Nothobranchius furzeri: one gene and its partners. The protein of the gene in region 2 interacts with the protein of the main gene of each other region in a pairwise test. Links are inferred from orthologs where the notes say so. Each region holds a gene or a part of one and is shown on either strand. Other genes may lie near its edges.

Region 1 (3,466 bases), on a different chromosome or scaffold from region 2:
GAGTAAACTTGGTGCTGAGTGTTTTTAGCATAATCATGTGTGTTTATATACATATCTATGGTTTCCAGTTTGTCCAAGGCTGACTCACTAATGCCACAAAGCACTATGGGATTTGTGGTCTTTCCGGCAACATGGGCCAGCAGGCCAGTGTTAATATATGTTTGATCTTGAGGGTCTAAGTTTGACACCTGTGACTTACTGCACTGAAACCTGGGGAACGACACACTCACCCAGTTTTGATTTGACCAAAAACAGCCAGGCTATTATTTGCTGGGATGTAAATATAAAATTGGGTGATCTTTGAAGACTCGAGGGATTTTGTGAAGTGTGTGAAGTCCAGCGAGGAGCACGGCAGAGAAGCTGCTCTGCGGCAGAAATTCTCCCAGTGTGTACTGACTCAAGTCACGAGTAAACCACTGCACTCTGCTGATGCCTCCAGTGTGAAGCGGGCATAACGCCCCCCAATAAACACGTCCACCACAGACATTAAGAATTACTCAGAACATGAACTAAAAAGATACAGTTTATTCAAAACCAGCGAGGGAAACACGTTTGTACAAAAATACACAAATGTTACATGTTTGTCAAGACTTGTTCAGCTTTAACCTGCTTACACCACCGATGCTCGTCTGCATGCAGCACCAGAGTGGAATAAGCCTTAAACCATAGTCTTAATTTCCCTATGTAAAATTAACAAATCCAAATACGTTGTAATTTTCCACTTGGAAGAATGTTGAATCCTGGATACTTGAGTTGAGACAAAAATGGGAAATTCATTGTTATAAATATTAGGAAGAAAGCTGAAGGTATGAGTTCTCAGATTCATCTCTGGTGTCGTTCACTTCGACTTTGTGCTGCTTTTCCCGCCTGATTCGTCTGCTTTTTTCTGCTTTTGTTGCATTATTTCAGCATCCCTTTGGTGGGAAAACAAAACATTAAAATAATTACTTTGACAGAACACAAACGGTGTTTTAAAAACACTCATGCTGCATGACTATGAACATAAGTGGAGTTGTATATAAAAAGCTATACGACAAACACCATTATGGCAGTAAATTAGACCACAGGACTCAATAAGCAAATATTATAGTGGACCTCCGTTCAATGTCGTTTACCTCTGTTTCCGTGCAGCTGCAGAAAGCCCGTCCTCGTTACGCTTTCCTTTAGTCTGTTCCGTTTGCTTTTTGGCACTTTTCTGGCGTGCAAGCTCACGTTGGTTTCCTCCTGCACAACATGAAATAAACACAATGCGGATTCAGTTGTAAAGATGCTCTAAAGCGGCTGTAATGAATCTAACTCGAGAGCAGAGAGCAGCCGACGTGGCAGAGCCGCCGAAGAGCAGCCCAACGCCAGCATTTAGCCGCATCCAGGCAGCCGAGTTTGCATGGACACGATCACGGAGTCAAATACAAAACAAAAGAATTTTAAACACTTCAAACAAAAATTTTATTATCTGTAGCTTTTTCTACTCGATTATTCTTCCGCTGTGTTCTTGCTGCAAGCTACAGGGCTAATACCAACATCCAAACAACCCTTTGACCCACCGATTCGAAGTCGTCTTACATAAGTCGTCCAAAGCACACACATACACTTTAACTTAAAACACCGAACACTTCATGAGTGGATGACGTTTAAAATCTTATTTATTAGCGATGATACTGTCATTTAACAGTAAATACTCCAATGAACCCCGTCTATTTGCTGGAACAGCAAGCTGACCCAGCAACATATATAAACGTTAACGTGATCATGCGCCGATCATCTAAACACTTTAAGACCAAATAAAGATGTCGTTACACACTTGTCATTTTAGCAACCGACGTGTCTTTCGGTCAAATTCCAGATAAGCTCAGCCAAAGGGCCACTGGCTCCCAGCACGTCTCCCCAGTCGCTTTTCCTGCTCTGGTTGCGCCGACAGAAAAAAGTAACTAGTCAGAAACTAGAACATTCCGCCCAAACACACCAACTGCGCGTGCGCACGCTCAGGCACGTCTGTTACGCTCGGTCCTTGTAAAAAGTGACGTACCGGGTGCGTCTTTTGGAATTCTAGGATGTCCAAGGAAGGTCCCGCCTTTCTCGCCACTGATTGGCTAGATGGACTCTACTACGATTGGCTACTTAATGAAGCAGCAAACCGTCTTCCCTTGCTAAGTGCAGACTGTCCTCTTGCCACCAACAGAACACATATTTTGGGGATTTTATTTTGTTTTTTTAAGAAAATAAGAACTTAGCGCCATTCTGCCCTCTTTTGCAAAAGTTTTTTTTGTTTCTTTTATTGAAAAACTGAGAAACGTAAGAAGTGAACTTATAAATCTTATTGCATTTATCACACTGTGGGACTTACTTTATGTCTATGGCTCTAAAGCACTGATGTTATCTTATTACAGCAGGGTGCATAGGAGAAATGTAAGAAATATAATAAAACGGCCCTATTTTACCCAGCCGTGTGCAGCAGGTCTGTTTCTCTTCTAGAATAATGAAAACTGCTGAAAAGGTGTTAGGGTTTAAATCATAATCAGCTTTGAACTAATTTCAATTAAAGATGCAGATTTAAACACATGAAAGACGTGTCCTCACTTTCATCCTGCTTGCTTAACAGCCTCAGCCCGTATTTCCAAATTGTTATCAAAAGGCATGAGCATGAAAATACGCCATGCCGATTACATCACAGATGTTATTGAACAAGTACAGAACACCTGTGTGTGTGCGTGTGTGTGAATAAGTATATTGAACTGCCAGCTATGTCACCAGCAAACAACAGAGAAAGGTTAGATGAACATTTGAGGGCGTGCCTATTACTTTTTTACAGTGTTGGACACACCAGCAGAGACACACTGGGCTAGGGAGTGTGGTGCCAGTCTTCTGGGCAGTGCACCACTCCCTTCTTTTTCCTTCCCATAACTGTGTTCTCTCCAAGCTCTCTTTGGAGGTCGACCAGTGATGAGTGACCGTCTGCCCCCCAGTGAAGTTTTACGGCGAGCAACAGCTGCAGGCTGCACACCGATCTGTGCGCTCACTGCAGACCCTTTCATGGCTGCGGTTTGATCTTACATGCAGCAGCACTCCTCATCCTCCCGAACGTACAGTGCTGAAATCAGACTGCTGTCTGTGTGTTTTTGTAAAGACTGATCAGACGGATGTCATTGGGGCTTTGAAGGATTCATCCTTTTTCATCTTGTCCATAAGGTAATCACACAGGGATCTAAAACTAGGCTCAAAATGCTCAACATCCAACTGACATTGTGATGCTTCTTTTTCTGCTCCAGATTGTTGTGGTGCTGGGGGAGTGGTTGCTTCAGCTTCTTCTTGGGTGCCTATTTAGCGGAGCACAGACAAGGACTGATATCACAAGTTATCACTGTTTGGTTCAATTAGTTTACCTGCCAAAAACGACTTACTTGTACCGAGTGGGTGTGTTCTGCAGTCCTCTTCCCTCTCAGACTGCAAGTCCATAAACCAGGTTTCT
Region 2 (4,109 bases):
TCTGATCGGATATTCTTCTCTCTTACTCGGATCATGTAAAAGTTCGTCTCAAAGCTGCACTTAATGATCACCAGGGAACACAAAAGGATGTTTAGCTGTAAATGGCTGTAATTATCAAACATGCCCTTCTCATTTTGCACAGCCAGACCTCGTTGGCACATTCACCCGGTAATTAGAAAAGGCTGTAGATGAGTGACAAGTAATGGAGCTGCCCACATTACTCAGATGAGGGCGGTGATGGTGGGAAACACTCATGGCATGTTGCATTTTCTGTTAAAAAGAAACTCAAACATGCAGGTTTATGAAAATATAACAAAAATAGTTTATTTTACCTGTGAACTGTTTGTTGTGCAGCGGCTTTGTTGTGGCCTAAGGGAGGAGAAGGGAAAGGTGGGGGTGTGTAAATGACAGCAATCACTGACAAATTATAGCTCCATCAGACAAACATCCAAAGCAGACACAAGCTTTTAAAATCACCATTAACACCTCATGTTAATTGTTATTCCGAAGTGGGTGTTTGCATCAAAGTTAAAACTTTTGTGACATGTGAATAAAGTGAGGCAGAAAAGCAAAAACAAGATAAAGCTGTAAGGAGACAAATGCATTTTCGCAGCACTGCAAGTTGTCAAGTGGGTCGTTCTCAGCAGGATGCTCTGCATTAAATGCTTGAGTTTTGCACTGAACAACTGTTTTAATGTTCAACATAAATTAGTGATTTATCAGTATATATGAATATTTGGATATCTTTTGTGGCTCCAAACATTAATTGGTGAAATTAGATGGTACAAATCGTCATTTCAGCCACAAACATTTCAAACTTCATGGAAACAGAAACTATCATATTTGCAGTGAAATGTCGCCACTGTGTGGCAGGAAATTATACTGCAATAATGTTCATTTTTGCCCACGTTTTAACATTTGCTCTTCCTTTTACTTCTAAATATTTATTGCGCAGTTCATTTAATTTTTATTAAATTAATCTTACCGTGTTCCACTGAGACTGCATGGAGATAAAGCTTTGTACGTTAAAAATCAATCACAAAGTAAATTATTACCCAGAAAACTCGGCTGTTTTCTACTAAAACATTAAAAAAACAACTTTTAGACTAATTATTTAAAAAAATGCTTCAAAACAAGTATCACTTTGTGTCATTTTGTGTGGAAATATTCTAAAAAATGTTTAAATAAACTCGATTTGCTGAACGGAAATATTTGGCGCCCTCCAGCGGACAGAAAGTGCAGTACATTTCCGCTTTTGCGTTTAGCTTAGTTAGCTTAGCTTAGTTCGCCAAACTAACTTCAATACATTTTTAAACATAAAAAATATTGCATTTATAGTTATATCGCATTTGCATTGGGATTTTATATTATTTAACTTCTTCAGTGGAAAAAAAATACTTCCAACGTTTTATTTTGCCAACTGACGTCAGGGGAAGAGCCGTAACCTTGGAAGCAACCGTCGAAGTAGAACCGCTAAAGCGCTCGGTCCTGTTTCATCTCAGTTCCTGCAGTCTGCAGAGATTATTCATCTTCAGTCATAAACTACTCAGATTAACGCCACAATGCAGAGGGAAGACCAAGGCACGGTGAGTCCCGTCATTTATTTGCTAACAGGAGGCAAAGAAACTATCGAGCAAGTTGACAAATGGTTACGTTTGGATTTCGTCTCGTCAATAACAATTTTATAATTCAAGTTTAATTATACATTATTTTTTTAGACTTCTATTTTGTTTTTTCGATCGTAAAAAAGCATAAAATGTAAAAGTTTGACCCGTTTGCGGTGCTAAGATGCTAACAAATAAGCTACAATTTCAGGTTCAGACACGTTTTACCAACAGTTTCCGTTTTTTTTTTTTACTCTAAAATATGAACTCGGTTGTTTTGTGTTAAGAGAGACTGACGAACTAAGATGAAACAGGAGTTTTGTTGGCGGTTAGCTGCAGCTGACTGATGTTTACGCTTCCTGACCGCCGGTGACCTTGAAAAGACCCTTTTATGCTGGTTGTCTTTTGAAGAGTTAATAATGATTGTTTTCTTTCGTCTTTCTGATTTTTCCAAACCGTTGCAGCTTAAACCCCTCTTACTTCTTTTTGCAGCCGCTGTCCTCCCACCTCAGCAGAGGCACCTCCTTTCTCCCGGATGTCTTACTCCCAGCAGACCCTGCCAACGCCCCCAGCTGTCTCACCCACACCCCTGGCACCATCATTCCTAACGGGATTTTCGTCGGCCGGATCGGTGATGAGGTGAGGTTTTTCCGTCTCCTATACAGAAACAAGTGGTTTTAAACAGTAACGCCGTAAAAAATGCAGATATTTGTGCTTCAAGGTTGATGAAAGCGACCTGCGACGGGTCTTCTCGCAGTACGGGGAAGTGAAGGAGGTGAAGATCGTGTCACATCGGTCAGGAATATCAAAAGGGTGTGTGTTTGTGGTGTTTCTGACAGAATTCCAGTCATCCGCTTGTTTCCTGAGCGCTCTCCTCTCTGAACAGGTACGGGTTTGTTACGTTTGAGACAGCTGAAGACGCCATGAGAGTCCTGAGCCTTGTGAGTGGTCGGCTCTGCTGCAGACGATTGGGTTTGTGGTGATTTATCCAAACTTACTGGACTTGTTTCTTACAGAGGAGTGGGATCCGTTGCAGAGACAGGATCCTCCGCATCGCCCGTGCTATAAAAAGGCCGCAGGGCTCAGGAAGACGTGAGTCTGGAACAACCGAAGCGAACGAGCCGCTGGGTCAGACGGACTCTGTAACTGTTGGCTTTGTCTGCAGCCAGGAGAACCCACATGACCCCGCTTGGACCCGCCGTGCCTCAGGTATCCTGTGGGACGTTCGTCATGTCCACCTCCACAGGTTTCCCCTACACCTACAACAATGGGATGGCGTACTTCCACTGTGCCAACGTGAGCCCAGATGTGCAGTTCTGGCCCGTGAGTACGAAACCACCTTCACTAGGATGCGTCCGAAGCAGCTAACCACGTAAGGAAACACAGATTTGCTTTGGTTTGTAGCCGGCTCCTAACCTGATGCTGCCTCCGTCCCATCAGCACGTTCACCAGCAGCAGTACCACCACTTCCAGGTCCGTTCACAACCAGCGCTGCTTTCACTGATTCGCAGTCGTCCGCGTCCCCGTGCACCTAAAACCTTCTTTCTGCTTCCCTGCAGAATTTCCCAAATCCGTATCCGTGGAATACCGTGGAGGTGCCTGTGCCCCCTGGCGCAGTGATGTACCCTCAGCCGTCCGAGTATCTGTACCAGCCCGCTGATGGACCCCTCTTCCTGCCCTTTGGGCCTGTGTGGGAGGACGCTCCAGCAGAGGTCCAGAGTCTTCTAAAGACATGGCGGTCAGATATAAACATCTGGTTTGTTTCACCTGGACTTTGTTGTTCTCTCGTCTCTAGGTGGTGGACACAGCGGGGCCTCATGGTTACTCCAGAAGGACGCCAGATGTTCAGCGAGGCGATCCAGGAATGGTAAAGGAACATTCCTGAGCTGTAAGCAGCACCTGAAAGGTCTCACGTCTCATTTGTTTACCTTTTGTCTCCATAGCAACAGGTGTTTCCTTCTGCCATCGTCCCCCGGCACTAACGAAGCGTCTGAGTCCACGCAGCCACCTGATGTCACCACGTCTCACTCCTCCCTGCTCCTGAAGAGGCACGCGTCACCCTCAGCAGTCCACCTGTTCCACGCCTCCATCACTAAACCCGCTGACAGCCTGATGTGGGGGGGGGCGCCTCAAACAAAAGGATGCTACAGGTGCCTTAAATTCACAACCCCTCAAACATCAGTCGGATTAACAGAGATTAGAATAATCTCAGCGCCTTCGGCTGCAGGAAACAAGATCATTTCCAGGTGACTGTTGGTTTTAAAGTTATCGTTTGAGGCAGGAAGTGCTTCCTGTCAGATTTAATCACATCTTTTATGCTCGGTGGTTGCGGGGCTTCCCACCCAGTTAATCTGGGATTTTAAAGATGATAATCTAGAGAAACGTTTCAGATTTTGTCTTTTATCCGTCTCTGAAACACAAACACGACTGTTTTAAATCCTCTGTGGACAAACGGCTGATATTCCGTCACATTAGCACGTACCTTTCTATTTTCCATCTGAGCCC
Region 3 (3,567 bases), on a different chromosome or scaffold from region 2:
ATGCGGGCAGGCTACCCCGATTCCCGGAGCCCCTTCGGAGCTTCTTGGGTTTGCTAAGTTAGCTAGTAGCTACATTGGTTCAATTTTTTTTCCAACCGTAACAGCCCCACCCTTAGCTCTACCTCTTTTCCCATTTTGGCACTGTCTGGGCATGACGAGACGTGTGACATGGTCAAAATGGCGGTGGTGGGAACCTCCCATTTTAAATCAAAAGCTTATAAATGGAGTCTATGGACATTATTTGTACAGTAAATATGTCGGACCCATGAGTCAATGGGAAGGGTATCAATCAATCAATCAATCAATCAATCAATCAATCAATCAATCAATCAAAGCTTTATTTATAAAGCGCCTTCCGCAACCCTGTCAGGAAGCCCAAAGCGCTGAAAGGGTAGGAGATTTAGGCTTAGTAATCTTGTTGTTTCATCAGAATGAAGCTGGTAAAATCTGCTGCCACCTAGCTGCCAGAGTTTGAATTGCATCACAGGAAATAAATACAGTAAAAGTTTGCATTTGAATTCTCAATAAAATTTGATACACTGCTAATATCAGTTAAGTATCATAACACAAAATATTGCAATATTTCAGTGTATTGATTTTTTCTTACATCCCTAATGAGAAGTAAGGTGCAAATAGCTCTTAGTTATACCCATGAAATCCTTCTGCTTCATTAATATTTAAACCAAATCTTTTAATGATGGTGTTGCATCCCTTTTCTTGCATCTGGCCAATGTATCATCAAGTTTGAGCATGAATTGCGGGTGCTGTAATTGAACACAAACGTGAACTAACAGAAAACTAATGAAACACGCGTGGCTCTTACCGCAAAGATAACACTGGGGTGTAGTTTATTGTAGGGGGTGAACTTAGTCTTCACAGGCTTCCCCGCCAAACGCTCTTTGTGTCTCCTGCTGTTCATGTGCTAAAAGAGAAACAAGATAAAAAAAGAAAACAACAGCAACAAATCCTTTACTTAGAGCAGTTGTAAAATTAGGTAAATGAAATAACGATAATGCATCAACCCATTTACCTGCTTCAGCTGTGTTTCTGAGTTAACAGACACTTGGCACAGCTCACAGTGAAAGGCCTGATTGGTCACACCGACCACCGCTCTGCTCTTGCTCCTGATTTGCTGTTTAATTCGGCTTTTTGGCCTCTGAGATGATCCCGATTTGACTCTGCGGTGTGAACGATGGCTGTGCTGACCGTCTAGCATCTGTTTGTGCTTCGACCCTGATTCAACCACCCAGAGGGGAGAGATTAGTAAGCTAGCATAGATTCAAATGATAAGGGTCTTCACAGTAGTAAAATGAAAATGTATACCACTACAGTGAGACTCTAGCTGGGAGCTAGAATTGACTGTCACTTTGCAGGTTGGACAGTGAAGATGCTTTTTGTTTTCCCTGGCCTCCTTCCCAGTCTCCTCCTCCTCTCCTCCTGTGGAGCTTCCTTGGATGTCAGAGTGTGGTGCTGAAGCAGAGTCTGGGCTGCACACATCTGCATGAGGACTGCTTGAAGGTGGATCAGAAAGCTCAGATTCTGAGGAGATTTGTGGAGTCTGGTGAGCCAGGGGGAGTGGTGAGGAGTCTGTGGATGAAGGCAGGGCTGTTGCTGAGCACTCCTGGGTGTTTTCAGGATGCTGTTGTGCTGTGTGGGATGAAGTGCTGGAGTCTGTGAACAGAGGGCAAAAACAAGCTGCTTAAAATATAGAAAGAGTTTTTTAAACCTTCAGTCATTGTTTACTTTTTAAAATGATTCTGCATATTCCACCTTTAGAATGGTGTTAAATGGATGTTATGTTCTGTATTTGGATTCCTATTTTTTTAAATGACCAAACTAACACTTTGAGAGAAATTTTTGACTGTTAAAATTAAAAAAAAATATATTTGTATTTTCTCTTTTCTTGTGACTGCAGTTGAGAAATTTGAATATGCCCTCTGTTTTGTGGGTTAAATAAAAAGCAAATAATGCTTGTGTGATGCTGCAACTGTTAGGGTCTAGGATTTTTATGGATAGATTCATTCAATTATTTTATTTTTCAACATTTATCCTAATTAAATTTATTGGCAATTAATGAATCATGCAGCCTTTAAAATTGAATATGAATAAAATGTACGAAATCAATATGATTAAGTTTAAAAATACACATGATCTTTGTTCATTATTTGTTATTTTCTTTTATCTCACCCTCTGATTGTACCTTGTCTTTTTTCTATCATCTATAGCATTTTCATATATTTTTCTCCTTTTTTCTGTCATCTTAATCGCTCTTCCTTTGTCCTCATGCCTCTCTGCCATCTGTTGGTTTTCTCTGCCCAATCTCCCACCGTCACATCAATCAACAACCATGGCAACCACTGAAGGTAACAAGCTTATCATTATGTGCTTCGAGGGGGAAATTGATAGGTGTTGCAAGAAAATGGGAGGCAGAGGATCAATAATGGAAAGGAAAAGCAGACAGAGGGAATAGAAAAGACGGTGGTGATATTTTGTTGTCAGACAAAATGAGAAGCTACAGGACTGATGGCTGGCAGAAAGTAAAACCATAAACTGCAGAGTCATTACTCAGAAATTAGTTCAGATGAATAGAAACATTAGAAAATTATGTGTATTTTTAAAAATGATTAATAACTTATTTGTGGGTTTTAATGAGATAATGTGTAGTTTTTACTGTTAATCTCTGGAAATTTCCATCCAAATGTTGAAAATGAATTTAAAGAGCAAGTCACCCCAAATCAGGTTTTTTTCTGATAAACTACATAAATGTGTGTCCAATCGTGCTGCAGACACGTGCAGTCAATAGTTTTGCACTTTTGTGCATTTTCGTTTAAATTAAAATTTTCTGCCTAAAACTGTCAGTGTTGTGTCGGTGAATTTAAATCTGCCATCGCTATTGGCTAAGAGGTACCCTAGAATGTTAGCTGGTACAATATGATGTCACAATGTCGTTGTGAGCCTGTGTGTGTATGTATTTGTTTGCGGCTCTGCCCTCTTGGTCTGCTAGGCAACAGCATTTGTTGCATTTTTCAAACAGGAAGTGGGAGTTGAGTAAGAATCTGGTAGCCACTCCCCCTGGCTCACCAGACTCCACAAATCTCCTCAGAATCTGAGCTTTCTGATCCACCTTCAAGCAGTCCTCATGCTTGCTCTTTAATGATGCCCAGTTGTTGAAAAACATTGGTGGCTTCGTAACATATAACTATAAAAATCAAGTCTAAAATACATGGGAGTGGGTGTAAGACTCCATATTAAGCCCGGATCACACTGTGTGATTTGCGGCTGTCTTAACCAAATCCCTCGTCTGGAACATAATCATGAATCATCATTCATGATAAAAAAAAAGGTGAATGTGAGGGAAATTTGCATATCAGACCGGCTCGGTTGCAGATGTTTGAGCCGTCTCACAACCCAAATCAGCATCCGACAATCTACAAGCATGCTTGAAAACGTAAGACTCCTGTCTGCAGTCGAGAAAAGAAAACATGCATTTGGGGGCTTTGGTTTCAATTTATGTTTAAAAGTGGATTATAAACTAGACACTAGTTTTTATTCTGTTAATAGCCCAAG
Region 4 (3,567 bases), on a different chromosome or scaffold from region 2:
AAATCCATCATTAAAACCTAAATTAATACTACAATCATGTTAATGATGAGTGTATGTGAATTCTGACTTTAACTGTATATTACTGATATACAAATAAACCAAATATCTGCAGGAAGACAAACAGCTTAAATAAACTAACAAGAACACAGATGAACGTCGTCTAAGAGCTAAACAAAACAGACGTGGATAATAAACGTTACATTTACTTCGTTCACCCATAAAATCATGTCAATAGGCTAAATGCCCTCTATGATGAGTGTGGAATGGTTTTTGGCACACACACACACACGGTAACAGAGACAGCCACGGACACGCGAGGATGCAGGAACTGTGCGTGTTTGTGGGTGCATACTGACACACACTGCCACGCTTATATATAGGCCTAGTGGACTCTATATATAGAGTGAATAATGGTGGGATGGGATGAAAAAGAAGCAGGTAGGAGACAAAGTGAACTGTAGTTGGGCCACTTACATGGACACATTGGAAGTGTACAGGAAACTGAATTCTTCAGAGCGCAGAGTTTTATCCCAGACAAAGAAAAGTACAGTGTGACTTTAGGTACAGCAAATCTCTCTCGTTTTCTTCATCAAGGCTACAGACATGCACACTACCGGCATCTATTGAAAAGAAAAGCAACTAGCCAACGTCCACTGGCATGCACCGAGCAGAATAAAACCACCTTCATAAAGATTTACTCTCTGAAGGCCTTTTAAAGACACTCAGGAAAAGTTCATGCTAACTACACAAGGAAATTTAATTTTGTGCCCCATCGTCAAAAATAATCCACCAAAGCAGTCATACAACACATGCAGCTTAACAAATGTAGATCCGTCCACACGTCGGCCCCCGTTAGGCAGCAAATACCCACATGAACCATGCACACCCAGGCTCCGCTAGCTAAATCCATGCCAGTGAATAGTAATAAACTGCAAAGTAACATATTCACAGACAAGTGGGACTGTGTTTCAGTGCTGTTGAACTGAAATCAGTTTTTGCCTTCCCAATTCTGAAAACACATTTCAGCAAACACAGAAATCAAACGGCCAATGAAAGCCACATCTGAAAGAGTGGGGGTGGGGGTCTGCCCGGGAGCATCGCCTCAAATAGCAATGCCCAACTTCTTCAGCTCGGGTTGAAAGAATGTATAAACACCATCGCTTGTCCTCCCACGCTAACCTTTTGTCTCTTCAGGCTCATGCACCATAAACAGACAAAGAGAGACACACTCCACAGCGTCCACCATGCTGCTGATGCCCAACTCACTACGGACCATCACCACTACTGGAGCACGACAGAACGCATGCAATGTGACAACTCAAAACAAAGACTGAACCCCTCGCCGCTTGAGAGAAAAGTGACTGATATCATGCGGAGAAAAAATAAAAGGAACTGGGTTGAAACAAAACCAGAGAACACAGACACGGGTGGGACGGATGCAGGACGGCTGCATCAGCATCCACCCAGCTTGCTGATTGACTGAAGGTGGAGGTGGTGGGAGGGATCATGTCGTATCGGTGTATGCAGGTGGCGGTCTCTCGCGCTCAACCACACTGCGACAGAAGTGAGAGTAAAAGAACTAGAAGCGTCCAGCCTCATTTGTCATGCAGGAGCTCACTCGCACACACACACGCACGCACACACACCTCCGCACACACCCAAAGGAAAGCCCATGCACAAATCCTGGCTTCCGTCGAGGGATTGCATATAAACAACTGACTTAAACCCCAAAATAGAACAGAAAAATCCACTTTCAAACACTCAGCACATGCTTCAGAAAAACATAAACAACATGTATTTGAATTAAAAAAAAATTAATGCATTTAAGCAAACAGAGTTGACTGGAAAGGACCCAGCCCTCCATAAAGTGAACATGCGTCAGTGTTGCTGTGAGTCCCAGCATGCTGCTGCACCAGGAGCCATCAGCTGTCACAACCACAGCACCAGCAGAGGGGAACACAAGAAACGTCCACGCCAGGGAAGAAGATAAGACGGCATTCTGCCATGCATCATCCTGTCACTGGGCTCCCCTCATGCCCCCCCCCGCTTCCAGCTAAACATCATTCCAACTGTCGAACGAGACATTCTAGCATCAGTGTGTGAACATGTTGTGCATCATTAGAAAAAAACAAACGTAAAATCTAAAAGGTTAGTGTGAAAACGCAGCAGAGGAGAAGCATGCTTTCATCTGGTATTCTTGCACCACCCTCAGATCGTTCCCACCACATAGACTGGATATAAATAGGAAACGAGTCTCTTCGGATTAAAAGAAAACAAAACAGGAAACATGTTGCAAAGGACTGGGGAGTGGGATACTAGTGGGCTGCATCAGAGCATGTCACATCAGGGAGGATGGGATGGATCTAGCTAGCAGTCGGTGATCAGGCAGAGCTGATGGGAGAAGGAAGGCAGAGAAAATTACCTCAATCTTACGACCTTCCACCAGAGTGCCGTGGAGCTTTTCCCTGGCTTTCTCCGCATCGGCGCTGGTTTCAAATGTCACGAAGCCGAAACCCTGCAGTGTGCAGCAGAGGTTAAAGAGACAGATGGAGACTCGGGGAACCGCCGTGAAGGAGGACTCTACATCCTAGCTGGTTACCGTTCACCTACCTTTGACCCCCTCTCGTTGAATATGATCTCAACATCCAGAATCTTCCCATATTGCTGCAAAAACATCAGATTAGACAAATTAACAAATAAGGCCAATAATAGAGGAAGTAACAGTTTAGGCAGCAACTCAACACTAGGGGTCACTGTTGCACCAAAGACAACTCCAGCGTCAGAGTTTTCCTTTTGAACCCTGCCCTGTCCCATTCCTCCTCTCATTTTGTCACTTGCCCTAACACACTGACATACATAACAACTTAAAAGAACCCCCCACCCCCTCAGGGTGTTTTTCTTTCTGCTGGTTGGACTCTTTTGTCAGCCACCAGAAAGGCAACCCTTCTGCGGAGCACCCAGGATGTCTAGACTGATTTATTGATCGTGTTTGAGGCCCCGCAGCATTCCAAGTTTCTTACCCCAAACATCTGCCTGAGGTCTGGGTCCCGAAAGCGGAAGGGGATGTTTGAGACGTGGAGGCGTTTGGGGGTGCCCTTCGCCTCCGTGGACTCTGCTGCAGAGCCTCCAGCTCCTGCTCCTCCTGCAACACACTGAGCTCCCACCTCACCCTGAGCGGCCTCGTCCAGCTTTACCTGGGGTGTTTGGTTAGATTGGGGGGGGGGGGGGGGGGGACAAGGAAAGAGAATTAAGGACTTGGAAATAACACTTTGGTGTTTACCATGTGTAGAAATAAAATACAGGAAGTTAGGTAAACAAGTTTTTGCGACACTAAAAGTCCAATAAAATGTTCCAGCAGACGAACGTTTACGTAAAAAACAAACGAAAAGTGAGCTGAAGAAGCGTGTGACGGACTAAAATAGCAGCGTGTTGGTTTCTGACGGGAGGATGAGGTTTAAATAGTTTCTGTGGAGCCGTAATAGCAGCTCTGTGAGGCCAAGAAGCAGAGCTTTGAACTTTTCGCTAACGTCAGCAGTTTCATCTGACCTGAAACTTCAGCTTTCTTCA

The links.
Region 1: the proteins of protein boule-like (region 2) and small EDRK-rich factor 2 interact in a two-hybrid assay, tested with the Homo sapiens proteins (2 studies listed by BioGRID and IntAct). The two-hybrid records come from large-scale screens. The link is inferred for Nothobranchius furzeri from reciprocal best matches to the Homo sapiens genes BOLL and SERF2.
Region 3: the proteins of protein boule-like (region 2) and zinc finger protein 385C interact in a two-hybrid assay, tested with the Homo sapiens proteins (2 studies listed by BioGRID). The two-hybrid records come from large-scale screens. The link is inferred for Nothobranchius furzeri from reciprocal best matches to the Homo sapiens genes BOLL and ZNF385C.
Region 4: the proteins of protein boule-like (region 2) and RNA binding protein fox-1 homolog 2 interact in binary tests that used the Homo sapiens proteins (3 or more experiments, as listed by UniProt). The two-hybrid records come from large-scale screens. The link is inferred for Nothobranchius furzeri from reciprocal best matches to the Homo sapiens genes BOLL and RBFOX2.

The regions. Positions count from the first base shown.
Region 1 is NC_091749.1:75,953,492-75,956,957, reverse strand, and holds small EDRK-rich factor 2, read right to left. Parts: upstream 1,960-3,466; 5' UTR 1,809-1,959; coding exon 1,802-1,808; intron 1,225-1,801; coding exon 1,116-1,224; intron 915-1,115; coding exon 839-914; 3' UTR 506-838; downstream 1-505. Other genes in the region: uncharacterized protein, read right to left, coding at 3,130-3,314, 3,399-3,466. UniProt on the Homo sapiens protein: Positive regulator of amyloid protein aggregation and proteotoxicity. Induces conformational changes in amyloid proteins, such as HTT, driving them into compact formations preceding the formation of aggregates.
Region 2 is NC_091754.1:47,836,593-47,840,701, forward strand, and holds the start of protein boule-like, read left to right. Parts: upstream 1-1,260; 5' UTR 1,261-1,562; coding exon 1,563-1,586; intron 1,587-1,899; exon of another isoform or gene 1,900-1,995; coding exon of another isoform or gene 1,996-2,001; intron 2,002-2,096; coding exon 2,097-2,243; intron 2,244-2,325; coding exon 2,326-2,417; intron 2,418-2,490; coding exon 2,491-2,545; intron 2,546-2,620; coding exon 2,621-2,696; intron 2,697-2,769; coding exon 2,770-2,927; intron 2,928-3,008; coding exon 3,009-3,077; intron 3,078-3,163; coding exon 3,164-3,316; intron 3,317-3,399; coding exon 3,400-3,471; intron 3,472-3,547; coding exon 3,548-3,586; 3' UTR 3,587-4,109. UniProt on the Homo sapiens protein: Probable RNA-binding protein, which may be required during spermatogenesis. May act by binding to the 3'-UTR of mRNAs and regulating their translation.
Region 3 is NC_091756.1:38,858,897-38,862,463, forward strand, and holds part of zinc finger protein 385C, read right to left. Parts: intron 1,672-3,567; coding exon 1,324-1,671; intron 1,234-1,323; coding exon 1,031-1,233; intron 923-1,030; coding exon 824-922; intron 1-823.
Region 4 is NC_091752.1:66,506,534-66,510,100, forward strand, and holds part of RNA binding protein fox-1 homolog 2, read right to left. Parts: intron 3,195-3,567; coding exon 3,021-3,194; intron 2,665-3,020; coding exon 2,611-2,664; intron 2,516-2,610; coding exon 2,423-2,515; intron 1-2,422. UniProt on the Homo sapiens protein: RNA-binding protein that regulates alternative splicing events by binding to 5'-UGCAUGU-3' elements. Prevents binding of U2AF2 to the 3'-splice site.